7 linked regions of the Macaca mulatta genome follow. The protein of the gene in region 3 interacts with the protein of the main gene of each other region in a pairwise test. Links are inferred from orthologs where the notes say so. Each region holds a gene or a part of one and is shown on either strand. Other genes may lie near its edges.

Region 1 (4,495 bases), about 4.1 Mb from region 3:
ACTCACAAAAGGACTCATATCATATGACTCCATATATATAAAATGTCCAAAAGAGGTAAATCCACAGAAACAGAAAGTACATTAGTAGTTACCAGGGTCTGGAGTGGGGTGGATGGGGAGTGACTGTAAACAGGTATGTAGTTTCTTTTCGGGATGATGAAAATGTTTTGAAATTAGTGGCGATAGTTGCACAAAACCATCTGTACTATAAATGAATATACTAAATACCACTGAAATGTACACTTTAAAAGAATGAATTTCATGGTATATTAATATCTCAATAAAGCTGTTATTTTTAAAAAGAATGTTTCATTCATTTGTAACTTGTTATTTTATGTAATAAAATTTTTATTTGTTGTCACTAAGGTTGTTGGATCATGATCAGACAGAAAGAATCTTGTCATCGCTTTGATTTTTCACCTTTCAATTTGCAATGAAGAGTAAAGCAGTTTCATTTCCAAGTTGCCATGCGTCTAGTACAGTCATTTGTGTCATTTCCCCACCCAGGAGAAAGTTTTTCTTCCCTAAGACCGAAAGAGTACAGATGCAAAAGTTCTATTCTTGACAAAATGCTCTAATATTTTCTTTAAATCAAAGTACCTTTCTATCTAAAAGAACCTTAGTTTTCTCCCACGACCAGAGGCTTGTGGGCTTTACTGCTAAAAGCACACAGCTGAAAAATATTTCTCTTTACCAAGTAAGGTACTAAAAATTATTATGAATTGTGACAATATTTGAATACCTTAAAACAAACAAGGAAGACAATGAGCTGGGGTAAGGATCTGAGTAACATTCTTTTAAATGTTTACTTGCTCTAATAATGACAGTAATATTAATAACTACTGTCTTCTGAGCAACTATAATGTGCTAAATAAACACTGTCCTAGGTTCTTTACAAATAGGGTATTTCACTTAGTCCCCACAGTAACTCTGAGGAAGGTATTTTTATTTCTCATTTCATAGATAAGGAAACTGAGGCCTAGATAGATTATTTGTCTTGGTCACACACACAGGAGAGCCCAAATAGTAACCCAAGTCTTTCTGAACTCAAAAGTTCTCTATTTCTCTATATTCTTCGAAATGAAAAGGGAATCCAGAAGCTTGAAGAAACTGAAAAGACTTCTCTTCCTATCTCAGAAAAGTAGTGCTTTAAAAAAGTTGACTGTTCTTAGAGTCAAATACAGGAAATACAGGAAAAAAAGATTGTTAATAGCAACCACCAGTCAGAAGGCACAGAAGCCCATGCCATGTCCCACATCTCTTGCACTGCTTCCTGATACAACTGTCTTCCTATTGATTCTGATTATAATCTTAGGATGTCAAAATTTAATGATCTCACTATGGAAAACCCCGGAGAATAGCAGTTAGCACAACTAGAGAGCTCACTAAACCAGGAAGGAAAAGGAATCAGTTGGCAGGAAGTGGTGCTTACCTAAAAACACAGAACATCTTTAACAGTTATATCAACACCGCAAGTCCGCAGCACTTTAATCTGATGTTATCTTTCTATTATTTAATAAGTATTACTAAAAGCTGATTTCCACCTATTTTCCATATGTCTACTAGGATCCTTAATAAAACAAGACTCTTGGTGGGGCATGGTGGCTAACGCCCACAATCCCAACACTTTGGGAGGCCAAGGCAAGAGGATCACTTGAGGCGAGGAGTTACAGACCAGCCCAAACATAGTCAGACCTTATTTCTATTTCATTGGGGGGGGGGAAAAAAAAAAGTAAGGCTCTAACTCAGCCACTATTGACCCTCATCTCCCTCTTGCTTAAAAAAAAAAAAAAAAAAAAAAGTCACGAGTTCAAAAGATCATCCCAGAAAGAAAAAACCTGAATCCATTAGAAAAGGTAGCACGTGGGGCACAACCAAACATGAATTTCATCACCAAGTAGACTGTGGCTGGCAGAAATCTTAGATTCACGACTGAAATACACACTCTTCCTTATACTTCTCAGGACTTTGCCCAAAATAAACTGAAACAGTAAACCAACAGTAGACTGATGAATGGATAATTTGCCAAAAGTCTCAACATACACCACAAAGAGGGTGGGAGTAGTCTTAGGAGGTCTGCTCTCCAGCTAAACAACTGAAGAATGAAAGAATTTAGTGCATTTGCACAAGAAGTGCATTACAATACAGGGGAGGAAGAAGTCACTTGGGGTTGGACAAATCCTTAGAAAATGCCAAAGGAATAACCTGATTCTGTGGTCGCCTTGTAATAATTCCCAGTGGGAAAGGCCAACTCAAGATAAAGTAAGGTCGGAGTTGAGAATTGTCCTCACTTTTCCTGCCTAACCCTCTCGGCAGGCGACCCCAAACTCCCACAAGAACCCTTCGGGTAAGTGCCGAGCTGGGGGAGCAAGCCATCCTCGAGCGACCAACCACCTGTGCGTGGTGGAGACCCCTGAGAGGGAGTCCTAATTAGAGTGGGAAGCAGCTCTGGGGAGGAACCCCCGAGACCAGGGCCGACACTGACTACTCACCCAACTCCACTCCCCTTTACGCCCAATCTTCGGCCACCTTCTCGCTGAGGTCACCCCTCCAGAAACCTCCGCCCCCAGACCCCGGTCTACACCCACATCCAGCCGTCCCCAAAGCTCGCTGTTCGCTCCTCTGCCTGACAGCTGCCCCAAACCAGTCTTCCGGCCTCGGTGGCGCCCCAGGGCCGCGGGATTTAGGGATTAGGATCTGGAAGGGTTTGGTCCAATACCCTCTCCCTCTCAGCGTCCTGGGCTCACCTCCCCGGCAGCTTAGCGCTCCTCTTCCAAAACTGCTTGCTGTTGTCAGCGGCCATTGCTCTGGCAGGGGGAAGGCCTTGTAGGCGGGCCAAGGGGTTGCCTGGCGAGATGCCCCCAGACCCCGCAATCTGAGGGCCAACCCAGGCCGCTTCCCCGCCGCCGGTCACCCGCTCCCAGCTCCTAGGGACGCCATCTTGGATGTGGGCACCCCTCCACCCAGCACCGCTGCCATTGGTGGGCTGCGCAAGCCGTGGACGGGCCGACCAATCGGGAGCCGGAATCCTGCAGGCCGCTGAAGCCAACGGGTAACGTCAGGGTCTGGGCACACAGGTGGACGGGGAAGGCGGAGCTTGGACGAGCAGAGAGGTGGGGCTCAAAGTTCCTAACCCGCAAGAGGGAAGAAGCAGGTAAAGTAAGGGACCTATGGGAAGGAAGAGAGGGGATTATCTTCTTCGTGAGGAATGAAGTTCCTGAGTCTAATATTTTTTGGCAAGAGAGAGCATACTATGTATTTATATATAGGAATATTTGACCTAAAAGTAAAGGCCCATGTGTTTGTTGTGGCCCATTTTTAACATCTCTCAACTCAATGACACTCTGGTTATTACCCTCCCTTCCTCGTTCCGTTTAGATGTCCATTCGTTTTTCTGAAGGTCAGCAGGGACCCGATAGCCCGGGATTGCTAACTGCTCAACACGTGAGCAACGGTTCATCAGAGTCTCCCTCTCCCTCTGTTTATTGAAAACGATTGAAGGACTTGTGCTGTGGGTGAAAAATTCAAATGATCTAATCCCTATGTCAATCCATAACTCTCACTTTCTGACTATGCTAACGGTGTATAGGAAATGGTTTATCATAGCTGTCCAACTCAGATTACCAAATACGATTTCTTTGAAGGACACAGTATAGCTCCATCGTGTGAATCACAAAGTTAAGGATGTATCTCCTCCCGGCCCCACCAACATCCTTAATTTCCCTTGTTAATCTGTTATAAATCTTGCACCCTTGAATTTATTTTCAATCTAATTTTCCCAGACAATGAGATTTAATATTAGCATTTTGAATCCTTTGAATGTCTTGTCGGTGTTTTTTGCTGTTTTTGAGTTTCTGTGGTTGTATTCCGTGGTGATTTGGGGAGAGAGGGAAAGCGGGCACCAGTCCAGAGTGGTTTTTGTCCCATCGAAGGACTGTTGAGGTGGGCTGCGTGTCCCCCACTCCCCCGCCACCCTCCATTTACAGCTACCACATGTACTTCCACATATTGGAGAATACATAAAGACCCGACCCCCGACGGGTATGTCCTCCAACGACGGTTTCTACATTACTCCCATTTTCAAGCTTCTTTTGTCCCCTAATTTTAGAATTATAGGATTGGATGATGAGGGCTATTTTTACTTCTTCTGAATCTTTCATGCTTTTATACACTTTCATCTTATTTTCTTCATGGGCATTTAACCCAGGAAAAAAAGAAAGAAAAAGTCCCTGTATTCTTTTAATCATTTTACCTGCCATTCTCTGGCACTTCTTTTTCTTAGGATGCAGTGACCAGCACTGCACACTAAGCCCAAAGAGGGATGTACTGAGGCTTTGTTAAGGTTGATGTTTTGTCTTTATTCTGAACAGCCAGAACTTTTGCTGGCTGTTTGGGCTTTAGAAGAGTTGATGTCTTGAAGGAGTAATCTAAAACAACTTCTAGATTCCTTACTTGGGTGGCAACCAGCAGTTCAGAGTTCACTGTCTTAAAGGTA
Region 2 (4,196 bases), on a different chromosome or scaffold from region 3:
GCCAGAAAATGGCTTTCTGACAGAGGTCTCACTGCCCCAGATGGTAAGTGAGGAAGGTTGAGATACCTCCAAATGCCACGCTTTCAAGGAGAAAAACACCTTCTGGACTGATACTAGCTACATATAAAACACCTCGTTTTAAAATCCTTCCACCAGGAAAGAGCACTATGGAGCTGCTTACAGCCTTTCCCCTAGCTTGTCCAGGACGATGTCACCAGCAGCCAGCTGCTTGCGCCTCAGCCGCTCTTTTAAGTCTGGGAAGGCCCGAAGCGCCGGCACATCCTCGAACCGCAGGTTCTGTGCGGCCTGCAGCTGCTCCGCCAGGTTGCTGAGGGAAGACAGGAGGGGCTGGCAGTCCTGCAGGGCACTCTGCCACAGGCCCTGCTGCTCCTCCACCACCAGGAAGCACTTCTTCAGGGCCTCCTGCACGGCAAGCAGAGGCCGGTCTTGAGTCATCTTCTGCTGAAAAAGATAAAAATAGAAAATAACCACGTTGGGGTGGCAAGTCAGTCCGGGAGGCACTGGGTCGAGGGTGGGCGTCATTTCCGTCCTCGTGTTCACACAGGAGTTGTCTCACCTCCAGAAGTGGTTTTTTTTGTTTTTGTTTTTTTCGACACGGAATTTCACTCTGTCGCCCAGGCTGGAGTGCAGTAGCGCTATCTCGGCTCACTCCAACCTCTGCATCCCGGGTTCAAGCAATTCTCCTGTCTCAGCCTCCCGAGTAGCTGGGAATACAGGTGCCCGCCACCACGCCCGGCTAATTTTTGTATTTTTAGTAGAGACAGGGTTTCGCCATGTTGGCCAGGCTGGTCTTGAACTCCTGACCTCAGGTTTTCCGCCCGTCTCGGTATCCCAAAGTGCTGGGATTACAGGCGTGAGCCACCAGCCCCGGCCCTGCCTCAGCTTTCTGAAGGAGATCCTGGCTTCCCCTTGGGAAGGGTAACCTGGATAGGGCAGTCTCCTGCTTCAGAGGATTCCCGGCGGCCAATCGCCGTCTCTTCTCTGACCTACAGTCCTGTCTCCCCTGCCCGAGGCTGCCGGTCGCGTTCCTGAAACCAGCGGAAAAACTTAAAAGTCAAGACACCCAAAGCGTGAGCACCACGCGCCCATAGTCTCTCTGCGCATGCTCACAGGCGACCGCCCCCAAAGCTCCTCCGCAGGCCTGCAAGGCTATTGAGTCGCGAAAATATATCATAGTACCGAAATTACTTCTGGGTACTGTAGTCCAACATGTGGATTGGCCACTCGGCTTGAAGCTTCCTTGGGACTGGATGTTGGGACCGTCCAAACACGGCGACTTCTCATTTGTCAGCCTGCGGCAGTTTAAATTGGGTGGCAGTGGTGGCATGTCCTCTTAACTGTGGAGTCTTTTCCTCTCAGCTTGCGCCTTCGGCTGTGCCTTAATGACACTTTTGACATTGTGTATCACAACCAACTGGCAAAAACTAGTGAATCACGGGCTCCTGACGTGGCAGCTCTGGCTGAGATGCAGGTGGACATCCTAGGTGCCCAGGGAGGTCGGGCACATTGGGGAGTCGGGTGAAGGAAACCCTGAAACCGAGAGGCTGGAAGCCCAATTTGCCCATCATAAAAACACCTGCTGCGGGAAAGCCTACATGAGGTACGGGTTGTCGTCCCCTCTCATCTTGGCCATCTAACTGATGGAGATCCTTAGGCACCCAGCAGACTCGGGTGTCACCCCCACCACCCACTGCCCAGGGCTGACCTTGGGCGGAAGAGCGACATTCAAATATTTTTTGTATATGGAGCAACAAACCAGGGTGGAAGAGAGAGAGAAAGGACTTTCTAGGAAGGGCCAGGCTTGCCAGGGTTTCTATGCTTGGACTGCTCTGTCCCCAAGCTCGCTGGTGCCCATCAGGAGCCTGCTTGGCACCTTTGCTTATTTCTTTGATTGTTCCTGAACTCAGAGGGGGAGAGGCAAGATTATCACTCCCATAGCCTATAACATGCACGCTTAAACACAAACAACCCCTCTGACATGGCTTCATTCCGCATCCACAGGTGAAAAGCACCAAATCCAAACAATCAGGCCACAAACCTGTCAAGAGCTCGCCGGTCTGGCCGTCCAGTCGTCGCCCGCCTTGAGACTCAGCCTGAGCTACAGCTTCGAAACTAGCCTCTAGCCTTGCTGGGTCTCAGCACAACCCTTGAGCAATCCAACCCTGTGGCTGTGGGCAGATGCAAAGATGCACAGTTAGCACTTCCGACAGGACTGCGGCTCAGCGGGGTTCGAGGTCTACACGCCCATTCCCAGGCCCACGGCCAGAACACCCAGAGCTGCCTCCCGCCCTGGGCTCCCTGGAGTGTGGTGGCCGCGGCTCACGCTGCAGTCACCGCGTGGGCAGCTGCCAAGCGCCACTACTCGCACCTGAAGTCGCGGCCCCGCGCTGCACACCCAGTCGAGGCGCCAAGACGCGAACTGGACGGGAGTGGCCGCCCCGCGGGCAAGCGAGGAACAAGAGGGTTCTCCCCACTCGCTGCCCAAACTGGCCACGGGCTGGCGCGCCCACCCCAAAGCCTGCACCCCGGCCCCGCTCCCCTGTCATTCCGCCTCGACCCCTTCCAAACCCTGTCGGGGCTGCTCTGTCTCCGCCGACCCTCCACTTGCCCCAAGTTCGGCCTGGGGAGCTTGGGGCCCTGAGGAGCGCCGACGTAGGCAGCCAACCAGTCAATCAGTCAGAGTGTCACGGCGGCCCCTCGGCTACTCAGTGGCAGCCAGGCCTGGAAGAAGCAGCCGCCGGCCCCGGAGCAGAATCCTACAGCCGACCTGACCTAGCCCGCTCCTAGCCCTCCAGAGATTGGGGTAATGAGGACCCGCCGCAAGGCCTGCCGGGAGTCGCAGTTTGTATAGTTTGCAGCCGGCCAGGGCGGAGCCGGGTGGGTTGGTGGGGAGGGCGGGGAAACAAGCCTGGACCACAACTCCCAGGAGCACCCGCGACGGCGGCGCCCGCGCTGACGCACTCCGGCTATAGGGAGCGCATTGGGCGGGAGACCCCGGGCAGGTAGGAACTTGCTTGTGATTGGATACTGTGGGACGGCGGTTTCTCATTCGTCAGCCTGTGGCTGTGGAGTTTGAATTAGGTGGCGGTTGACGGTAGAGCCGCTCTCTCTCACTGGCATAGCGAGGTTTTACTCAGTCCTTGTCGCGAGACCGGAGGTACGTGCCTGGCGACTTATTCGGGTGGTCCCCATCCGCCCTCCTGGTCCCTACCTGGTTCCTTGCCTCCCTGCCCCATCTCCGCCGCTCCCCGCAGCCTCCGCCGAGCGCCATGGCTCCTAGGAAGGGCAGTAGTCGGGTGGCCAAGATCAACTCCTTACGGAGGCGGAAGCTCGCCTCCTTTCTGAAAGACTTCGACCGTGAAGGTAAAGGGGCCAGGCCGTCGCGGCCTCCTGGGGCGGTCGCGGGATGCTGGCGGGTGGGGACACGAGCTGCACACATTCACCCGCCCCGTGACCCGTGTCCTGTCGGCTCTGCCCTCCCGCAGTGGAAATACGAATCAAGCAAATTGAGTCAGACAGGCAGAACCTCCTCAAGGAGGTGGATAACCTCTACAACATCGAGATCCTGCGGCTCCCCAAGGCGCTGCGCCAGATGAACTGGCTTGACTACTTCGGTAAGAGCTGGAGAGCTTCCCTGGGCGGAGGCCGGGAGCCCCGTGGGGTTAGGTAACACCCTTCAGAAAGGACTCGCTCAGATGTCACCTTTTAATGAAATCTGACATGACCACTTATGGAAAATTGCAGACCCTTTCACTCTCTGTCTCACTTCCGTAAGTCATGTGTCTCCATCCTTTTCTCTAAAGGCCTAGGTAGCAAATATTTTAGGCTACTTGAGCCGGTGGGAGGGGTCTCTGTCGGACAACTTAGCTCTGCTGTTACAGGTCCAAAACAGCTATAGTGAATGGGCATGGATGGGCTGTATTCCAATAAAATTTTAGTTGTGGATACACTGAAATGTGAATTTCACATAATTTTCACACATCAGGAATTTTATTTTATTTTTTTGGAACAGAGTCTCACTCTGTCACCCAGGCTGGAGTGCAGTGCAGTGGTGCGATCTTGGCTCACTGCAACCTCCACCTTCTGTATTCAAGTGATTCTCCTGCCTCAGCCTCCGGAGTAGCTGGGATTACGGTCTCCTGCCACTATGCCCTGCTGATTTTTGTATTTTCAGT
Region 3 (3,528 bases):
CGCCGGCGGTCTAGAACCGCATCCGGAGGGCCTAAGGCGGGGAGTAGAATCCGCTTTTTTTCCACCACTCTCCAGGGACCTGGGAAGGGAATGTTAGGCCGTGGGGGTGGAGGAGACAGGAAACATCCCCAAATTACCATTTTTCCTCAACTGCACCTTTCCTCTTAGGCCTTAAAGGGGTCCCTGTGTCTCTCCAGTCTAGAGCCTAAGGTCAAACGAAGCGTATAGGCATGGGCAGCAGGAAGGCTCCAAGTCAAACAAATACATGACGTGGATGAATTTTGCCTCGTCTACCCCTGCCCCAGCGGTGTGTGTGTGGGTTGGCTGCTGCAGCCCAGGAGGCAAGGGACTGTGACAGCCACAACCAGAGGAGCTACGGAGCTGCTACAGAGGAGGGATTCCAGAGTCAGCTTGGGCTTGTCCCAAGGGAGCCCTCGAGATAGTGTCTGGGGCTGCGCGGCCTGGTTCTCAGCCCTTGCAGCATCTGCTTTAGCCAGGGGCCACCTTCCTCCTCTGGCCTGGAAGTAGCTAGAGGTTAGAGGTTACACCCGCCATAAGGGATATAAGCCCAGGAAGCAGTCAGAAAGGAAAGGTCACTCTAGAGATGGGGCCACCTTAAGGCCTTCAGGAGGAAGGAGAAAGGAAATGGGAGAAGTGTCATGTCATATTAAATATTTATTTTCTGCATACTGACTTGGGATTAATTCTTGAGCCAGGAGGGGCAGGGTTAGTGTTCAAATTGCTCAGATCTCAGGTCAAAAAACTACAGAAATCACTTTGAAAAACACAATGACAGAGGCAGTCACCCCTTGCCAGCAATTCCAAGAGCTCCTTCATGCCTCAAGACATGGTGACTAGTTGAGTGAACCAGAGATTGACGCAGTGACGGTTTTTACAGGGGAAGAAACAAGCCTTGGGTGTATGGGAGCAGGAAAGGAGGGTGACAGACTGGAGAAATGATAAAGGCCATTTTGGAAGCCCACAGGGAAGTGGTCTTGGGAAACCTGAAGACACTGGGAAATTTAGACGGCCAAGGAGATCCAGCTTATCCTGTTGGGCAAGGTGCTGGGAGGGAAGGCAGGTAAGCCATATTAAGGGCCTGGGAGGCAAGGGAAAAACTGGAAAGGGGACCGCCAGGTGAAGAAGGGTATGGAATGGGGTGCAGAAGTCCATGGAGATGACTGGCAGATCTCAGGGTGGTTTCCGGCACATCAGAAGTTGGGCTTATGCTTCTTGAGCTCCACCATAAGGTGGTGAATGTTGATGAGCTCAGCCCGGGCAGGCAGGGCTCGGAGCTGCGGCTGGGACAGCACCCGGTGGAAGCGATGATAGACCTGGATCAGCTGGGTCAGCGCTCCCTGGTCAAAGAAAGTCATTGAGGGATCAAACTGTAAAGTGGTGCTAATAGTGATGATTAAGAATCAGGTTAGGCAGCCAGGCGCAGTGGCTCACACTTGTAATCCCAGCACTGTGGGAGGCCATGGCGGGCAGATCACGAGGTCAGGAATTCAAGACCAGCCTGGCCAACACAGTGAAACCCCATCTCTACTAAAAAATACAAAAATTAGCTGGGTGTGGTGGCAGGTGCCTGTAATCCCAGCTAATTGGGAGGCTGAGGCAGGAAAATCACTTGAACCCGGGAGGTGGAGGTGGAGGTGGAGGTGAGCCCAGATCGTGCCACTGCACTCCAGCCTGGACAACATAGCTAGACTCTCTCTCAAAAAAAAAAAAAAAGAAGAATCAGGTTAGGGCTCATCCAGCACTTTGGGCACAGCTAGTAACTGAAGACCAAGGGTAACTTAGATGATGCTGAGCCCAGCAAAATGATGGGAGAAAATAATAAATGATGGGGTAACTTAGATGATGCTGAGCCCAGCAAAATGATGGGAGAAAATAATAAATGATGGGGTAACTTAGATGATGCTGAGCCCAGCAAAATGATGGGAGAAAATAATAAATGATGGGGTATCTGAGTGGGGGCTGGGACTTGCAGGTCACCTGAATGATACTGGTGCCATTTCTGAAGTTGGTGAAACTCCGCATTACATCCTGACTCAGAGATTCCACTGAGGATTTCCAGGAACTACCAAAGCCACGGATCAGCTGAGTTACCCGGGCTAACAGCAGGAGGAAAGGGAGTGTCAGAGACGGATCTGGCTGATCTTCAACTCCACTAAGTTCTCCCCAAGGTATAGCCATCCTTACCATCAAACCCTCTTTTCTGGTATTCTCTCAATCCAGTCTTTCATACTCTATTCCCCCACCATGTAATCTGCATCCTTTCATTTTTCTTTTCCACTTCCCTTACCACTGATCCCATCATTACCGCATTTTCCTCATACCTTCTTCCCCTCGAAGTCGCTCAGCCTGTCCACGCTCAATCAAAGCCTCAGCCTCCTTCACAAATGCCACTAAACCCCCAAAAGGGGGAGACAGCAACTCTTCAATGAATTCCTGGAAAGACAAACACATATACACAGGTGTCCTGGTGTCAGCAGATTTGCCCAATTCTGGCATCATGACTAATGTAGATCCGTGTGAATGGCATCTTTCAGCTGCTGCAGAAGTTAAGGAAAATTCTCTATGGAGAAAAATATCCTCAATCCTAATTTTGGCCCATACAATTCCCCTGGTTAAGATCAAACAATGAACTCAAAGATAACTAGACACAAAAGAAGGGCAGCTACCAAGAGAGTCAGCAGACACAATAAGCAATAGCTGCTGACCTTAGAACTATCAGATACAGATAGCAGTTGCACTGTTTGCAATGTCAGAAGTTAAGGATAGGCCAGGCACGGTGGCTCACACCTGTAATCCCAGCACTTTGGGAGGCTGAGGCGGGCAGATCACCTGAGGTCAGGAGTTCAAGACTAGCCTGGCCAACATGATGAAACCCCGTCTCTACTAAAAATACAAAAATTAGCTGGGCATGGTGGTGGGTGCCTATAATCCCAGCTACTCGGGAGACTGAGGCAGGAGAACCGCTTGAACTCAGGAGGCGGAGGTTGCAGTAAGCTGAGATCGCGCCACTGCACTCCAGCCTGGATGAAAGAGCAAGACTCTGTCTCAAAAAAAAAAAAAAAAAAAAAAAAAAAGAAAAAGTTAAGGATGTAAAAATGACCAATTAGTAAGAACTATTAGGAATGAACAGACTTGAAAAAAGGAAATTTTTTAGATACGAAAAGCCAATTTTAGAAAGTCAACAGATTAACAAGAATTATACAATGAACTAGAATTTATAACTGAAGAAAGGACTCAAAATGTAGCATAGACAGAAGATAGAAAATTCTGAGATAGTAGGAGATACAGAAATCTAATTAATGTATCTAGGCACTGAAATTGATGGCTACTAACATCACAAAGAGAGCCAAGAAGACATTATGCGCTTCCTGATGGAAATGCATACCACTACCTCTCAAATATCCCTGTAGAAAAAAAAAACTAAATCTGATCAAACCTTTCCATCTAATTACACATTTATGAGAAACACACCAGACAGAGGAACAGTTTGGCCACACCATGGAATGC
Region 4 (3,739 bases), about 140 Mb from region 3:
AAAATTACAAACAAAAAAACCCATTCCTAAAATCAATTAACCCACAAACATAATAGAAAGCACGTTGAAAGATATACCTCTAAACACTCTAAAATGTGTGCATTCTCACATGAATGAAATATTTTAACTGAACTGGACAGGTTATTTCTGAGAATCTTTCTTCCTCAAAATTAAAACAAAAAAACAGTAAAGCGAAGACACACGTGCGCACGCACACACCCCAAAGCAAAACCCATTCCACTACTGGAAATATTCCAGACAGGGGATTGCCTGAGCCATTATTTGTTTCAAATTAGTGATGTATTTATAGTACCTGATATACTCTGGCTTACAGCCAATTTTACAGAAAAAAATCAATTTATAAGTGATTTAAATAAATTATGATTCCTTAATATAATGGAAATACACTATGCAACCATTAAAAATGTAGTAGTCTAGATACACTAAAAAATGGAAAAATGCCGAAGAGACCAACTAAAAAAAAAGGTGCAACTCATCTGTGTTTATGGTATGATCACATTTGTTTAAAATAATATACATAAAATGACTGTATATGCATAGAAATTATCTTGATGATACCCAAGAAAAAGTAATAGCAGTTACTGCTCCTGGAGAACAGAATGAGGATGTCCAGGTAACATCAGAGAGTGACACTCACTTTTCATCTCCCCCTTTCTCTATAGTATTTCAATTTTATATACAAGCATGTATTATCTTATTATTAAAAGAGAAAATTTTAACAATGACAAGAAAAAAACCCATAGAACTCATGACTGTTATCTAAGTGGCAAAGAAAGATGCCTGCTAAATTTGAGTACATGTTAATAATACATTTTATGAATTACTTTTCTACTAAATTCTACTAAAAAGATACTTAGGCCATTTCTACTGTGAACTTAAAATGGCATAAAATATATACAAAAGCGTTAATGCAATCACATAAGCTAATTTCAAACAGATCCGGTTACTTACCCTCCAACCCTCACAAATAGTGAGAATTTTAGAAGCAGGTTTCTTGCTGAAAAGTCACACAAACCACTTCTTCAACCCACCCTCTGCCCCACAATCAGTTCCCTAAAGCACAAACATATATAAGATACTTACAATTGATTTGAATGATTAAGAGAGAACTTAAGTCACCCTTGTTAAAACTGCACTTAAACGTTGGGACAAGCTGGAACATTTATCTTCCACTCATCTTAGACTCCATTATCACCAAGCGAAAATTTGAATTGGTGACTTATAGAATGATCTGACGGAAAAAATTCACCTCCAGGATTGGATGGAAGCATGAAGAAAATAATGCCTCATTTATCTAAATGATTAAATGAATTTACTAGAAATGATCACTATACCTTTTTTCAATTCACAAAATGTCTTACTTAGGCCAGCCCACAGTTCCAACACATTATCTTCTGGCAGGCACCCTGTGAAGCTGTCCCGCAATTACTTTCTACTGCAGTACCCTGGGACAAAGTGTCATAAAAGTAACCAGTGTCAAGTCTCCTTGTCTTTTATGTAGGTCTTTTAAAAATGAGGCACAGCGCCTTTTCCTTCACTTTGAAGAGCACAGCAACAGTATTTCCAAAATGAATCTGCTCTCCACAGGCCCCCCCCCAAATTAAAATGTTAGAGTACAACAAAATCATCATAATATTCTTTGAACTTAAAAAAAAAAAAACCAACTATTTCAAGGCACATTTAATTTAATATCAAGAGTGCAATACAAAAGGCCCAAATACAATGAAGGAACACATTCCCCCATTAACACCAACGACAATGCTCTTTTAAACATGTGCCTGTTGAATGGAATGGGGATTTCATAAAATTCACTAAAAAAATAATGCAGTGAGTCTCATCACAGCTAATATCCTTATACAATCTAGTTGTGAAATGAATGTTTATAATGCTTCAAACAGTTTCAACCTGAAGTTTGATACCACACCTTCACGTTTGTACAGTCCTCAGTAAGATAATCTACAGTTTTGCAACCATTCAAAGAACAAACCATTGAATAAAACCACATTGATTAAGGCTCAAGCAAGTAATATAGAGCCCCAAACTAAATGGTTAAATATATGCGCTACTTGTACGGACATCTATTATTTGATTCTCTCGTGACTATTAAAAGTTGGTTCTCAGCAAATAAACCCTTTAAAGGCAAAATTCACCTCATTTGAGTTTTGACCCAGAAGTTCAACAACAATCATGAAGTCCACAGTCTTATTGGCAAAACTGATACACAGTGTCTCTAAGTCACTATGCTCAAGGTTAAGAGCGATGCATATTCCATTTTTACATTTTACTGGAATTTTACATGTTCAATTCATGATTTAAAATCTCTAGGTTTTCATTCCTTCAAACTGTCTGAAGACACAGTGTGCCACAGACTTAAGACTTCTGTTTCTCCCTCTATTTTCTTCAAACAGAAACATTTCTCAAGTGTCTACATGTTCTAGAAGGGGAATTTTTCGGAGGTGGCCACTTCTTCGGAATAGTCCGACGCCATCAGGCCTCTGAAGCAAGGGGAAGGGGAAAAGAAAAAAGCTGAAACACAAGGTTCATCTGGTAAGTTTTACATTAACCATTACAAGCTGGACAGTGTAAGAATGTGGCTTTTTTTGGCTCAAAAAGTCTGAGTCTTGGTGTGGAAACGAGTACTTGGCTGTCCCACCACAGCTTTCTCGTAGTGGGACTGTCAGGGAAGTCTTGACTGGGGAGTATGATTTGTTTACCTATCAGGCGTAAACTTCCAGGCACTCAGTTCATTTTGGGCTTGTTCCAGTTTGTCTTTAGTCTGTTCCAGTTCACCTTTCATTTTTAGGAAAAACAAGTTGATCGCTGGGTCTACCATTGTTGATCTCAGTTGGGCAACGCTCGGCTGCTGGACTTGCTTGAGGTACTGGATTTGAGTCTGTGCAAAGCAAAAGAAACAATTACAACCAAATCAAAGGAAACATACATAAGAAGGTGGGGGAAAACTCCCTCCATTCACTTGATTTACCAACTCTTTCATTAAGTCCTCCCCTCTTTCATCCTGAAATTCTCTAGAAAAATCTTAAAACTTTCTCGAAAAAGTACAGATTAAAAACTATTTGATGAATATGCTAATTACCCCAATCTGATCACTACACATTATATGTATTGAAACATCACTAGTAGTCCTTGAATATGTACAAAAATTATTTGTCAATTAAAAAATAACTAAGGTTATTCATTTAGGAATTGAGGCCATTTGATTACGTCTCCAAATCTGGATCTTAAAGGGGCTACATACATTTTACTTTACAATCCAAAATTACCAAAAAAACAAACAAAAATCAACATTATATTTACTAAAAATGCTGACAACCCACTGGAAAAAAGCAAAGTTTAAAATATTAATTACCGCCGGGCGCGGTGGCTCAAGCCTGTAATCCCAGCACTTTGGGAGGCCGAGACGGGCGGATCACGAGGTCAGGAGATCGAGACCATCCTGGCTAACACAGTGAAACCCCGTCTCTACTAAAAAAAAATACAAAAAACTAGCCGGGCGAGGTGGCGGGCGCCTGTAGTCCCAGCTACTCAGGAGGCTGAGGCAGGAGAATGGCGTAAATCCGGGAGGCGGAGCTTGCAGTGAGCCGAGATCCGGCCACTGCACTCCAGCCTGGGCGACAGAGCGAGACTCCGCCTCAAAAAAAAAAAAAAAAAAAAAAAAAAAAAAAAAAAAAAAAAAAATTAATTACCTAAGAGTTAATGA
Region 5 (4,479 bases), on a different chromosome or scaffold from region 3:
GAATGAAACAGTTGAAGTCCCTGCCCTCTTGGAGCTTATATTCTGGTAAGGAGAGACATTAAGTAAGTAAAAAAAAAAGAAAATACCAGCTAGGGATAAGGGTCCCTGCTTCTCAGTTTCCTTTGCTGGGTCTTCCTTATTACCCCAACCTCTAAATGTTGAACTACTCTATATCTATACTTACCCCACAGGTGATCTCATCTACTTCCAAGGACTTAAAACTATATTTGCCTCAAAATAATTGGGTGAGAGGAGGTAATATCAACGAAACCAGAATATTCATGAATTAAGAATTACTGAAGTTGATGAGTACATGGGGATGCATCATAAATTTTCCCTACTTTTGTAAATATTTGAAAATTACACAAAAAAAGAAAAAAGGGAAACATAAAGGAAATTTTATGTTTAGAATACTATACAATAAATGACTCCAAATTCATATCTTCAACCTGGGCCTTTCTCCCAAACTACAAATTCACATACCCCACTGCGTGTGAAGCTAGCTAGCTTCAGCTTCAAATACAACTGTTCAAAACCAAACTCTGGTCTTCCCTAGTCTTCCTTATCTGAGTACAAGACAATTTTATTCTTCCGGTTACTCAGACAAAAAAAAACTTTGGGATGATTCCTGACTCCTTATTTTCTCACACTATCATTCACTTGTTCAGAAAATCCTATTTTTTTTTTTTTCTTGAGACAGGTCTCGTTCAGTCGCCAGGTTGAAGTGCAGTGGCATGATCTCAGCTCACTGCAACCTCCGCCTCATGGGTTCAAGTGATTCTTCTGTCTCAGCCTCCCAAGTAGCAGCTGGGAGTACAGCTGGGACTCCCAAAGTGCTAGGATTACAGGCATGAGCCACCATGCCTGGCCAGCTTTGCTTTTGAAGTACAATCTAATCAGATCACTTTGCACCATCATCTTCACTACCACCCTAGTTCAAGCTACTATCATTTGCAGCTTGAATTATTGTAACAGCAGAACTATCTTCCTCCTTTGGGAGCCAGAGAGGTAACTATTAAAAAATAAGTCAGACTGGCCCCGCACAGTGGCTAATGCCTGTAATCTCAGCACTTTGGGAGGCCAGGAGTTCAAGACCAGCCTGGTCAACATGGCGAAACCCCATCTCTACTAAAAATACACAAATTAGCCTGGTGTGGTGGCGCATGTCTTTAATTGCAGCTAATTAGGTGGCTGAGGCACGAGACTTGCCTGAACCTAGGAGGTGGAGGTTACAATGAGCCAAGACTGTGCCACTGCACTTCAGCGTGGGCAACAGAGCGAGACTCTGTCTCAAAAAAAAAAAAAAAAATTCATACTCCAATGACTTCTCAATTTACTTGGATAATGTTCAAAGTCCTTACAGAGCACCTTCTCCCTACCCCTCTGATCTCATCTACTAGTCTCCCATTGTTCACTACCTATGATGGCACTATTTGGGGCTATTCCTGAATGGATCGTTAGAATATATCAGCGCCACGAGAGCAGTGGTTTTCCTTTGTTCACCTCGACATCCTCAGCATTCAGAACTCTGCCTGGCACCTACGAGGTGCTAAATGCTAATAAATACAATATTCGCTGAATGAAATAAAACAGCAATTGGGTAACCAAAGAAGTCCTCACTAAGGACCTGATATTTGAGCTGAGACCTAAGTGACCAAGAGCCAGTCACGCAGATTTAGAACCAGAGACCTTCAGGTAAAGGAAACAGTATAAGTTCCTAAAATAAGAACAAGCTTGACTTATTGTACGAACAGAAAGAGGGTCTGGAGTACAGTGAGGAGAGGTAGAACTCCACAGGCCATGGTATGGAGTGTGCAATGGAAAGTCGAAGGAGACTTTTTTTTTTTTTTAAGACACGGTCTCGCTTTGTCCCCCAGGCTGGAGTGCAGTGGTGTGATCACGGCTCACCGTATTCTCGACCTCCTGGGCTCAAGGGATCCTCCCACCTCCGCCCCCAACCCTCCCCTCGAGTAACTGGGACTACAGGAGCCAAACACTAGGCCCGGCTAATTTTTTTTTTTTTTTTTTTTTTTTTCCCTGTAAAGACAGTGTTCGCCTCGTTGTCCAGATGGGTCTTGAACTCCTAGGCTCAAGCGGATCCGCCCACGTCGGCCTCCCAAAGTGTTGGGATTACAGGCGTTAGCTACCCCGCCCGGCCGTCACAGGAGACTTTTAAACAGAGCAGTAACACGATCTGATTCAGGATTTGTGTTGAAAGGAGAACAGGCAGGGTTTACAGATCATTGTTATGTAAAAAGTGAGGGAAAAGAGCTAAGAAAGACTCTCTAAATTTTTGGATTAAGCAGCCGATGGATGACGTCATTTACTGAAATGGGTAAGACTGAAAGAGAATTAGGCCGGGAGAGTGAAATTTCAGATGGCCATGGACAAAGCAGATAAGCCAGTATGGTACTCATAAAGACATCAGGGCAGGGGACGGTCACACACAGGCATACAGGTACCCAATAACCCTTGATTACTAAAACAATCATTTGTTCCTTCTTAAGCAAACAACTTAGGGAAAATGACAGCCAGCCGGCAAGCCGGGAGCAGCACGCTCGCGTCAGGGCCGGCCTTTCCAACCCAGGGGGAGGCACGTGCGGCACCGCCTCCCGCCCAGGCCCCACCCCGCATGCCGAGCTTGGCCCAACCTCTCCGCCCACTTTTCCCAAGGCGGCAAAAGCCAGAAAGTGGGAGTAGACGAGCACATACCCGCCAGTCCTGATCCTTTCTTAGGTCTCTCTTCCCTGCACTGTTTCCACCTAGCAATTGTTACCGCTCACCGCCCTGCAGTGTGTTCCCCGTCGCGTGTTTGGGTAGAAAAGCTCGTTCGTGACGTCACCAGGCTCCGGAAGTCTCCTGGACGTCGGCGCAAGGGCCGCCGGGAAAACCATTGAGAAGCCCCGGAGGACCGGCCTGAGCGGAGGCGGGGACTAGAGCGGCCGCCGGCACCACCCGCCTTCAGGCGTACGACGACAGCGGTCCGGGGTCTCTGACTGGCCGAAACGGCGGCACTTTCTGCGTGGCCCCGGAAGGACACAGAGCGGAAGGCGGGAGAAAGAAGCAGCCGGCAGGCGGGGGCAGCCTGAGGGGGCGGTTGCGTGTGTGCCCGACGCCCGTAGCCCACTGAGCTTCCTCACGCCGGCTCTAGCAGCGCCGAGCCCACCCGGCGGCCTCTCCTGAGCTTCCGGGAGCCGTGGCGAGCGAGTGCGCCTGCGTGCCGGCCCATCCGCGCGCCTCGCAGCTGTCCTTGCGCCGGCCAGCGGCAGGACAGTTTCCTCGGCGCTTACCGCCTGGTTTCTGGGCTCCGCGGCGCACCGGAGGGCAGCATGTCGCGGCGGCGGCACAGCGACGAGAACGACGGTGAGTACCTGCAGCCCGGCCGCGGAGGCCGCTCCCGGTTGGGAACCGAGGCTCGGCATCTTTGAGTGTCCATGGAAGAGACTGGAAGCTCTTCTCCCCGGGACCGTGTGGGGAGCCGCGGAGGGAAAGAGGGGAATACAGTGGCGGTGTGACTGGGCGGCTTCTAGAAAGCGACTTTTTTTCTCCCGCCCCAGTTCTTTGAGTCAAGGGCCGATCCTCGGGAAAGGAGGCCTGGTGAACCCCATGGGTAGACCCTTGGTCTCTAAGGAGGCTTCAGAATTTGGTCCTTAGCACCACCGAGCAGGGAAGCACACCTGTGTCCGTGCTGCCGCGTCTTAGGGACCCACTGGTCCCAGTGTCTCGTTTTAACCTTCAAAGCTGCACCTGAGAAGGGCTCGGAAGAATTCACTGAAGGAAAGAACTGAGAGATCTCATGAGTTGCAATCTGAACTCTGTTCCGGTAGTGGTCATCCGTTGATTTCCCTTATTTCGAGCTGCAGGGAAAGAATATTGTCTTACCCACGCCCAAGAGGTCCCTAATAAACAGACACAGGTTACTGCAGATTTTGAAGTGGCCGTAAGCGCATTTCCCTCGTGTGAGAGAGAGTGCTAGAAAACTAACTTCAGGCCTCAGAGAGTTAGAACAGGGGTTCCCATCTGCATTTGGATGATTGTGCTCGTGGAGATCATAGTGTTGTCTTCATAAAGACGGAATAATTCTAGTTTTAACAACAAAAAAATGCTTATATTATACATAAGCCTTACAATCGGTCAAAAACACAAATCCACACACCAAAAAAGTGAAACTTAGAGTAATTCTGTTAACGTTTTAGTGTATTGTTTTTTGAAGAGAGTGTAGAGTAGTGGTTAAGAGGTGAGACTTTGGAACCAGAGGGTTTAGATTCAAAGCCAGACCCTACCATTTACTTGGTGATCTTTTCCAGGTTATGTAATCTCCTTAAACTTTAGTCTGTAATATAGACGTAATGATACTTATATCTTCTGGGTTTTGTGAAGGTTAGATGAGGTAATACACATCAGCAACGATGATGTTTTAATCATTTGCCAGCGCTTAAGAGGCGGTAAACGTTAGCAGATGCTGTCAATGTAAGAAAA
Region 6 (4,534 bases), on a different chromosome or scaffold from region 3:
ACTCCAGTCTGGGTGACAGAGTGAGGACCTGTCTCCAAAAAAAAAAAAAGATTGAAAAAAAAAAAAAAACAAAAAACAAAAACCCAGTACATTTCATGCACTGGCCCTTGATTTTTCCTCATCCCTCTGTCAAGCTACACAGAGCCTCCTTTTACAGAAGAGCAAATGAGCACAGAGTACAAAGGAGTTTAAAGGTTAGACAAACATTCCTTCACCAGCTCAGAGGCAAATATCCAGAAGGGAGCCTGACTGTTTCACTTTTAAGGAACAATGCCATATAAATATGGCCACTGATATGTCCAAGTGACAGCCTAGGACTTGGTTCTAGGTGACTTTTACTTCAGCTTGGCAAACTTCAACTGTCCTGCTTGCTCCTTCTAAAGCCCATTTTCTTTTTTTGAGAGTCTCACTCTGTCATCCAGGTTGGAGTGCAGTGGCGCAATCTTGTCTCACTGCACCTTTGCCTCCTGGGTTCAAGCAATCTCATGCCTAAGCCTCCCAAGTAGCTGGGACTACAAGCGTACCACCATGCCCAGGTAATTTTTCGTATTTTTAATAGGGTTGGGGTTTCGCCATGTTGGCCAGGCTGGTATCGAACTCCTGAGCTCAAGTGATCTGCCCCCTCGGCCTTCCAAAGTGCTGGGATTACAGGCGTGAGCCATCACGTCTGGCCTCATTTTCTATTTATTAGTTTCTACTAGTTTTTGATTAATTTCCTCTATTAGAAGAAAAGATTCAATTCAGAATTGCAAAGTAAAAACATACTTGGAAGTTATCATGAAATAAGAATACTAATGGTTAAAGCCTTATGATCAGAATGCAATCAATCTGTGAAGCTCAAAAGTTCAGTTAACTGTGTCTGAAGTGGAGATGCCAAAGATATGCTCTATTTTATCAGTTGTTATCATTGTGTAAACGAAAAATGAAACATAAAAGGTCCTTTCTTACTGATTCATGACCCCCACTTGCTTTTCTTCTTTGGACATTCCACCCTTCCCTTGTGCTCTGTGCTCCTTACTCAGGTTAAAGAAACTCAGCGTGGGCTAAAGAGCACTTGAAAATAAAGAAGTGCAAAGATGCAACCAAAAATTGCTAAAGAGCATGTTTTCCTTACATTTCTGACTGTGGTCTCTACAGGAAGAACCAGACCACTGCCATTTGCAGAAGCATTTGCAAACACTTGTCCTGATGAAGGCATCGACTTACTGGAGGATTTCCTAAGCCTTCTAGGAACAGATGTCATGCCCCTCTGTCACCAAGAACAGGGCAGTACCAGTCACAGGAGTCACTCACTGAAGGTGGACCAAAGGCACTGTGACCCCAGCATGGAAGCCCTTCCAAAAGTTCCCATTTTTTCTTACAAGACAGACTCACGCCTTCCTCAAGGCCCTCTCCTCTCTGTCTCCTCATCCATCTCTCCAGCGTGGTGCTCAAAACACACCCTTCTTGAGTTGCCCTTCCCACAGGCCTGAGATGTTCTGTGTGTTGCCTGGCTAATGCCTCCCCGACACCCCCTGTCTGGGTCACCTTTCTTTCTAACACACTTTCACGGACCACACTCCTTAAGAACTCTTGGCTGGTTTTTAATTATTCACTCATTAGTATCACAATTGGATGAATACTGCATTCCCTCAATAGACGGTACGCTCCATGAGACTAGAGCCGTGTCTGCTGTCTTTCTGCAGGACTTACAGCCCTCCCAGCACGGTGCCCGCTTCCCTGATGCCATTCCACAGTATTTGTTGCCGAGAAGGAGGCAGCACGCCAGGACAGATGGAGACAGGACTAATTTGGCTTGAGGTATGTAATTTTGAACTTGAGCCTCTCTCTGGGACTGTAAAACTCCAAATCAAAGTCTTAATCTGAGAATACACACATCTGAAAGACTGATTAGGGACTGGTAAACATCTATTAATATTCAACTCTGAAAGAAAGTACAAGTTGTTTATTCTTACCACGCAAGGCCAAAAAAGGGGAGGAAAAAAAAAAAAAAAAAAACACCACACAGTATATGCACTGGGAAAGCTTTCGCTTATTCAAAACAGTATTTGTCGAGCACCTCCAGGTCTGGGTGCTGCAGGGGAAACAAAGATTAAACAGCCAAGGCTTTGCTTCCAAGGTGCTTACTGTCTTAAGGATACAAGGCATGTTTATAAATAGCCAAAATGCAACTCAGAAAAGACTAAAAAACACTGAGAGGGAGGGAGAAATAAACGAAGAGGTCTCCGGAGGAAGAGATGAATTAGTCTATCAGAAACTCCTCACCGTAATCCCAATGTAAAGCAAGGAATTCCAAACCAGGAAAGGTCAAACTTAAGTATTTGAGGAACACAGGCGTCGCCCTAAGCCCTTCACACGGCTCGCTGGGGATAATATAGCAGCTGAAACGGAACATCAAGCTGGCTTTCCAAACCTTCAGTTATTTACATTAGACTGAGAGGGGAAAAGCGCTAACAGTGCAGGCGCAGAGAAAGAGCAAGAGGAAACTTGAAAAGGCGGATCACTCCAATGCGCTGTGCACAGCCCCGCCCGCGCCCGGCGCACCCGCTACCCCACCCGAGCTCTCTGCGGCCCGCGTCCCCCATCTCGGTCCTAGGCCCAGACACTTCCGAGACCCGTCCCACGGCTCCGGCCGGCGCCACCGCCACCCTCAAGACCCCCGCAGCCCAAGCCCGGCCCCGCGCCGGCGACGCCCCCCGCGGCCCAATCCGCGCGCCCAGCCAGCCCGGGCCTCGTACCGTAGGTTTCGGACATGGCCGTCTGCGACATCTTGGGAGCGGCGCCGCCTCTCGCCGGGTCACCGGCTGCACTCGCCCGCGGTCCGCTGGCGCGTCTCGCTGGGGAAGAACCTGGGGCGGGAGACCGGAGGAGGGAGGGGCCCGACCGGTCCCCACGGCAACCGCCGGCCTCCCAGCGGCTGCGGCCCAGCCGGACTCCAGCTCCGCGCAGGCGCAGGGACCTCCACCCTCCGTCCGGCCGCGACCGCGAGGAGGAAGAGGAGATGGGCTACCCGAGGCCCGGCCCACGCCGCGTTCGCGCGTGCGCACGGGGAGGCGGGGGCGGGGCGCATGGGGACTTCGGCGCGCGCCGGAAGCACGTGCGCGGGCTGGGTCCCCTGGCTGTGTGCGCCGAGGCTGGGCGAGCGGCGGGTGGGGGCGTTGCGGGCTGAGTCCCGATTTCCCTCAGGGAAGGCCGGGTAGAGGCAGGCGGTGGGCAGGTTTGGGGGTGACAGAGGGCTGGGGACAGTGGGGTCCAGTTACCGAACAGAGGAGGAAGGTGCCTGCACTGGGGAGGAAAGCAGTCCATTTGCCACACTGGCCCGTCTCAGTTAAAGACATTGTCTTCGGTCATCATCTGAGGCTGTCAGCCAGGAAGAAACTTCCCTGACGCAGTTACGATCGAGGCCAGAACTTGGTTAATGTGTAACAAGGGGGCAGTAGGCCCCAGGTGTCCAGCCAGAGGCCGCCCTGTGAATGGGAGGCGGGTTCATTTACCCGTTGGGAAGCTAAGCTTTCACTCCAAACTGCCCGGCCCTCTTGAATGGAGCTGAGCAGGTGTGGGCAGAATGACAGAAGCTCAAGATGCCCAGATGCTGAAGGGTCATCGCAAGACTACAGACAGCAGCCTCTCCACATCCCATTTTAGAGGGTTCTGGATTACGGCTGAGAACTATCTCCTGGCCCCCAGCTGGGGATGTGTTTCCAAATTTAGGAGTTTTTTTGTTTTTATTTTTTAACAGGGTCTGGCTCTTGTCAGCGCAGCCCTGTCGATTCTCCCACCTCAGCCTCCTGAGTAGCTGAGGCTAGGGGCACACAGCACCACACCACGCCAATTTTTAAATTTTTTGTACAGATGGGGTCTCGTTATGTTGCCCAGGCTGGTCTTGAACTCCTGAGTTCAAGCATCCTCCCTCCTTGGCCTCCCAAGTTGCTGGGATTACAGGCGTGAATCATCTCACCTGGCCTTGGATAGTTTGGTTTCAGAAGCAAAACTGAGTTAGAATCCCCTTCTGTGGGAAATGTAGAGATAAACATTTATGGGAAAGAGAATTTTGGTTGAGGATTTGGCCCATCTGAGCTTGATCAGGGCCACATAGCGCCTCATAGTTCCCAACCTTGTTCACAATAGGTTGTCGAATGCTCAAAATATCCCTGGCTAAGCTCCCAAGTGACCTGGACTGTGTGGAAAATGCCAGTACAAAGTTTTTTTTTTTTTTTTTCCTGAGTCAATTTGGCTCCATCCTCCACATTGGCATCAGAGCTTCCCTCTTCCCCAGGGGCTATTTGGGTCGGTATTTTTCTCTTCTTTCCCATCCTAATAACAAATAAATGCAGTTTTTTTTCTAAACCACAGAGAAGGCCCCATGGTGAAAGGTTGTGAGAGCTGCAATTTCCTAAAATTGTTTTGTATATATTTCTTGTTCAATGGCTCAGATCATTTTTTGCTTTCTTGTTTGGTTCTCTGCATGTTGTGTTTGATTTAGGCTCCTGAGTATAGTAGATTGGTTCTGATTAAAACCATTTCAGAGGAAAGA
Region 7 (3,739 bases), on a different chromosome or scaffold from region 3:
TGTCCATCCAATATTAAAGTATTGAGGTGGGGGAAACTGAGGTGCAGATTAAAGGAACTAGACTAGGATATCAGAGCAAATAGCCAAGTTTGGCCTGAAATACTAAACGTATGTTGAGGCATCCTAAGGCACCACAGCAAGCCAGCAAACTCATAGGGATGCATTGGGATTTTTTTTTGAGACAGAATCTCACTCTGTTACCCAGGCTGGAGAGCAATGGCGTGATCTCGGCTCACCACAACCTCCCCCTCCCAGGTTCAAGCGATTCTCCCTGCCTCAGCCTCTTGAGTAGCTGGGATTACAGGCGTGCACCACCACACCCGGCTAATTTTTGTATTTTTACTAGAGAGGGGGTTTCGTCATGTTGGCCAGGCTAGTCTTGAACTCCTGACCTCAGGTGATCGCCTGCCTTGGCCTCCCAAAGTGCTGGGATTACAGGCGTGAGCCACCGAGCGTGGCCTGCATTGGGATATTTTCAATAGCTCAAGGTAATTCAGTTTCAACATTAAGTCATATTACATTCCTTTTGAGAATATCGTATCTTCGTGAAATTGGGTTTTGGTGGCTGCTGTGGTAAAAAGTACAGTGTGAATATCAATATAAAACAAGACATGAAAAAGTGACAGTGCTGATTCCAAGGTCTGCAAGGCTGTCAGTGTCCAATAGGCACACAAATTCCACTAGTAACTGTGGTTATGTGAGAATGAATAAAAGTGTTTTTTTCCCCATGGGCACTGTAATTTTATTTATTTTTTCTTTTTTCTTTTTTGAGACGGAGTCTCACTCTGTCACTCAGGCTGGAGTGCAGTGGCATGATCTCGGCTCACTGCAACCTCCGCCTGCCAAGTTCAAGCAATTCTCTGCCTCAGTCTCCCAAAGTAGCTGGGATTACAGGTGCCCACTGCCATGCCTGGCTAATTTTTTTGTATTTTTAGTTGAGATGGGGTTTCACCAAGTTGGCCAGGCTGGTCTTGAACTCCTGACCTCGTGATCCACCTGCCTCGGCCTCCCAAAGTGCTACGATTACAGGTGTGAGCCACTGCGCCCGGCCATGGGCACTGTAATTTTCAAGTGGCAAAGTTATTAGGACATAAATACTTATTAAGTTACTTGGCTCTAACTACTTACTAACTAAAATAAACAGAACTGTTTTGGCCCAGGAGCTCTGTGAAAAAACCCCTGGGACAATTATGAACGGTGAAAGTTCAGGACCCCTGGTCTGCTCTATTAAGGTAATGTCTCAATCAGTATATAACATACAAAATCCCTCACTGGGAGACTTTCTACAATGAGACCTTTATGAGGTCTTTTCTCCTGCTTCAGTGTCATTTCCCCTTATTAGCATTTAGAATAAGCAGATGTATAAAATCAATTTACCAAAGTTTATAAAACATCTTTGTGCTAAAAAGACTCCCCTCAACAGCCAACGAATGGTCTGTGTTTTCTATTCCCGTAAGGAGTTGAGTAGGTCCTTTAGGCCAGAAGTAACCTGCTGTTTTCTGAAGCTGCCACTTTGTAACTTTGGTCATGTAACTTTCTTAGCCCCTTTGTGCTCTTAGTTTCCTCTTTTGTGAAATGGGGATAATAGCACCTATTTCATAAAGCTATTGTATGGATTACAACAATTAGCAAATGTCAGCTACTTGGCAGTACTATTCAAGTATTAGCTATTATTATTAAGCTGTAGAGGTTCATGTTCAAGTAAAACACAATCACAGACATTACCTCTCTTCCACATCTTCACTAATACGGTTCTGTAAACGCCGTAGCCGGGGGTCACTAGATGAATCCTCCTCCTGTTCCTCAGGCTCTGCTTCTTGTTCTTTGGCTTTCTTAATGAACTGAAATTCTTCATCTTCCTCATCTGAGGACTCCATAGGGGCATAGTCTGGCCTCTTTCCGGACACATAACGCTTTACCTTCACTTTTTCCATTGAAATCTCACCTGGGTGAGAAAAATAACTATGTTTCAGTAGCCTGTTTCTCAATGTGCTTCATCCCATTATGGCCTTTGCAAATAGAACCCTTTATTCATAGTAGACAAGAGTCTAAGCAGGAGAAGAAAAGAGCCACTACCCAACCATCTATTCATCTAATAGTGTTTTCCTACAAAGGCCAAGTCACGAGACTGCCTCCTTGTGAAAGCCAACACTGATGATAATGAGGCTTACCTTGAGTACAATGAAGTGGAGGAAGGCAGGCAGTGAAACAGTAGAAAAAAGTCCCCCGCAAAAAGGCAGACTGCATCCATCACAAATTCATGGCATCCCACCTCAACTATACCCTTAAACAAATTATTTGTAACAGTGCCCACCACATAGTAAGGATGATTTCTGCAGGAACATAAAACTAAAATGCTGCTCAGGCATTCTTGTAGTTCCCTCTGGGATTTCCACGGCAGCCTTTATAACATATTACCACATGACTCAATATTCTAATCTTACTTATTTCTACCTTCTTTTCCTTTACCTTATGTGTTATCAAACCTGCAAGAGTAGGTAATCTGTTATAAATACAATTCTTTTTTTTTTTTTTTTTTGAGACGGAGTCTCACTCTGTCGCCTAGGCTGGAGTGCAGTGGTATGATCTCGGCTCACTGCAACCTCCGCCTCCTGGGTTCAAGTAATTCTCCTGCCTCAGCCTCCTGAGTAGCTCGGACTAAAGGCATGCGCTACACCATGCCCAGCTAATTATTTGTATTTTTAGTAGAGATGGAGTTTCATCGTGTTAGCCAGGATGGTTTCCATCTCCTGACCTCAAGATCCGCCCACCTCGGCCTCCCAAAGTGCTGGGATTACAGGCGTGAGTCATAGCACCCAGCCTACAAATATAAACAATTCTAGTGAACAAAGAGAGACAGTGAAAACTAACCAACTTATTTTATGAGTATAACCTTGATAACCAAATTGGACAGTTCAAAGGAAAACTTTAGGTGGATTTCACTTACAAACACAAATACAAAAATATTAAATAAGAGCAAATTTATCCCAGCGATATAAAAACTACCAAAAAAAAAAAACCCGAAACAAAAAACCCCTAAGCCAACACAACTTATTAGAATTTAGCTCAAGACTACAAGAATAGTTTAACCTTAGAAAATTAATGAGGGGGCCAGGTGCGGTGGCTCATGCCTGTAATCCCAGCATTTTGGAAGGTTGAGGCAGGAGGACTGCTTAAACCCAGGAGTTCGAGACCAGCCTGGGCAACAAAGTTAGACCTTGTCTTTACTAAAAATAAAAAAATTAGCTGGGCATGGTGGTGTATGCCTGTGGTCCCAAGCTACATGGGAGGCTGAGGTGGGAGAATCACTAGAGTCCAGGAGGTTAAGGCTGTGGCGAGCCGTGACCACAGCAAGGCACTCACTTCAGCCTGAGTGATACAGTGAGAACCTGTGTCAAACACAAAAATATATATAGCTGGGCACAGTGGCTCATGCTTGTAATCCCAGCACTTTGGAAAGCCAAGATGGGCAGATCAGTTGAGGCTACGAGTTCGAGACCAGCCAGGCCAACATGGCGAAACCCCGTCTCTACTAAAAATACAAAAATTAGGCTGGGCGCGGTGGCTCAAGCCTGTAATCCCAGCACTTTGGGAGGCCGAGATGGGCGGATCACGAGGTCAGGAGATTGAGACCATCCTGGCTAACACGGTGAAACTCCGTCTCTACTAAAAAATACAAAAAACTAGCCAGGCGACGTGGCGGGTGCCTGTAGTCCCAGCTACTCGGGAGGCTGAGGCA

Evidence for each region.
Region 1: the proteins of VPS52 (region 3) and TBC1D22B interact in binary tests that used the Homo sapiens proteins (3 or more experiments, as listed by UniProt). The link is inferred for Macaca mulatta from reciprocal best matches to the Homo sapiens genes VPS52 and TBC1D22B.
Region 2: the proteins of VPS52 (region 3) and AIRIM interact in binary tests that used the Homo sapiens proteins (3 or more experiments, as listed by UniProt). The two-hybrid records come from large-scale screens. The link is inferred for Macaca mulatta from reciprocal best matches to the Homo sapiens genes VPS52 and AIRIM.
Region 4: the proteins of VPS52 (region 3) and WTAP interact in binary tests that used the Homo sapiens proteins (3 or more experiments, as listed by UniProt). The two-hybrid records come from large-scale screens. The link is inferred for Macaca mulatta from reciprocal best matches to the Homo sapiens genes VPS52 and WTAP.
Region 5: the proteins of VPS52 (region 3) and TSTD2 interact in binary tests that used the Homo sapiens proteins (3 or more experiments, as listed by UniProt). The two-hybrid records come from large-scale screens. The link is inferred for Macaca mulatta from reciprocal best matches to the Homo sapiens genes VPS52 and TSTD2.
Region 6: the proteins of VPS52 (region 3) and RAB4A interact in binary tests that used the Homo sapiens proteins (3 or more experiments, as listed by UniProt). The two-hybrid records come from large-scale screens. The link is inferred for Macaca mulatta from reciprocal best matches to the Homo sapiens genes VPS52 and RAB4A.
Region 7: the proteins of VPS52 (region 3) and MFAP1 interact in binary tests that used the Homo sapiens proteins (3 or more experiments, as listed by UniProt). The two-hybrid records come from large-scale screens. The link is inferred for Macaca mulatta from reciprocal best matches to the Homo sapiens genes VPS52 and MFAP1.

Annotation. Positions count from the first base shown.
Region 1 is NC_133409.1:144,980,938-144,985,432, forward strand, and holds the start of TBC1D22B (TBC1 domain family member 22B), read right to left. Parts: upstream 2,950-4,495; 5' UTR 2,804-2,949; coding exon 2,748-2,803; intron 1-2,747. UniProt on the Homo sapiens protein: May act as a GTPase-activating protein for Rab family protein(s).
Region 2 is NC_133406.1:203,101,070-203,105,265, reverse strand, and holds the start of AIRIM (AFG2-interacting ribosome maturation factor), read right to left. Parts: upstream 2,843-4,196; 5' UTR 2,590-2,842; exon of another isoform or gene 2,390-2,589; intron 2,191-2,389; exon of another isoform or gene 2,190-2,190; 5' UTR 2,060-2,189; intron 1,566-2,059; exon of another isoform or gene 1,314-1,565; 5' UTR 1,306-1,313; coding exon 1,201-1,305; intron 1,148-1,200; exon of another isoform or gene 578-1,147; intron 463-577; coding exon 182-462; intron 1-181. Other genes in the region: CDCA8 (borealin), read left to right, coding at 3,291-3,384, 3,507-3,635. UniProt on the Homo sapiens protein: Part of the 55LCC heterohexameric ATPase complex which is chromatin-associated and promotes replisome proteostasis to maintain replication fork progression and genome stability.
Region 3 is NC_133409.1:149,037,928-149,041,455, reverse strand, and holds the end of VPS52 (vacuolar protein sorting-associated protein 52 homolog), read right to left. Parts: intron 2,455-3,528; coding exon 2,343-2,454; intron 2,118-2,342; coding exon 1,999-2,117; intron 1,359-1,998; coding exon 1,212-1,358; 3' UTR 658-1,211; downstream 1-657. UniProt on the Homo sapiens protein: Acts as a component of the GARP complex that is involved in retrograde transport from early and late endosomes to the trans-Golgi network (TGN).
Region 4 is NC_133409.1:12,259,858-12,263,596, forward strand, and holds part of WTAP (pre-mRNA-splicing regulator WTAP), read right to left. Parts: intron 2,915-3,739; coding exon 2,736-2,914; intron 2,517-2,735; coding exon of another isoform or gene 2,456-2,516; exon of another isoform or gene 1,689-2,455; intron 1-1,688. UniProt on the Homo sapiens protein: Associated component of the WMM complex, a complex that mediates N6-methyladenosine (m6A) methylation of RNAs, a modification that plays a role in the efficiency of mRNA splicing and RNA processing.
Region 5 is NC_133420.1:60,767,501-60,771,979, reverse strand, and holds the start of TSTD2 (thiosulfate sulfurtransferase/rhodanese-like domain-containing protein 2), read right to left. Parts: upstream 2,829-4,479; 5' UTR 2,713-2,828; intron 1-2,712. Other genes in the region: NCBP1 (nuclear cap-binding protein subunit 1), read left to right, coding at 3,330-3,363.
Region 6 is NC_133406.1:19,774,588-19,779,121, forward strand, and holds the start of RAB4A (ras-related protein Rab-4A), read right to left. Parts: upstream 2,966-4,534; 5' UTR 2,770-2,965; coding exon 2,739-2,769; intron 1-2,738. UniProt on the Homo sapiens protein: The small GTPases Rab are key regulators of intracellular membrane trafficking, from the formation of transport vesicles to their fusion with membranes.
Region 7 is NC_133412.1:21,198,496-21,202,234, forward strand, and holds part of MFAP1 (microfibrillar-associated protein 1), read right to left. Parts: intron 1,946-3,739; coding exon 1,726-1,945; intron 1-1,725. UniProt on the Homo sapiens protein: Involved in pre-mRNA splicing as a component of the spliceosome.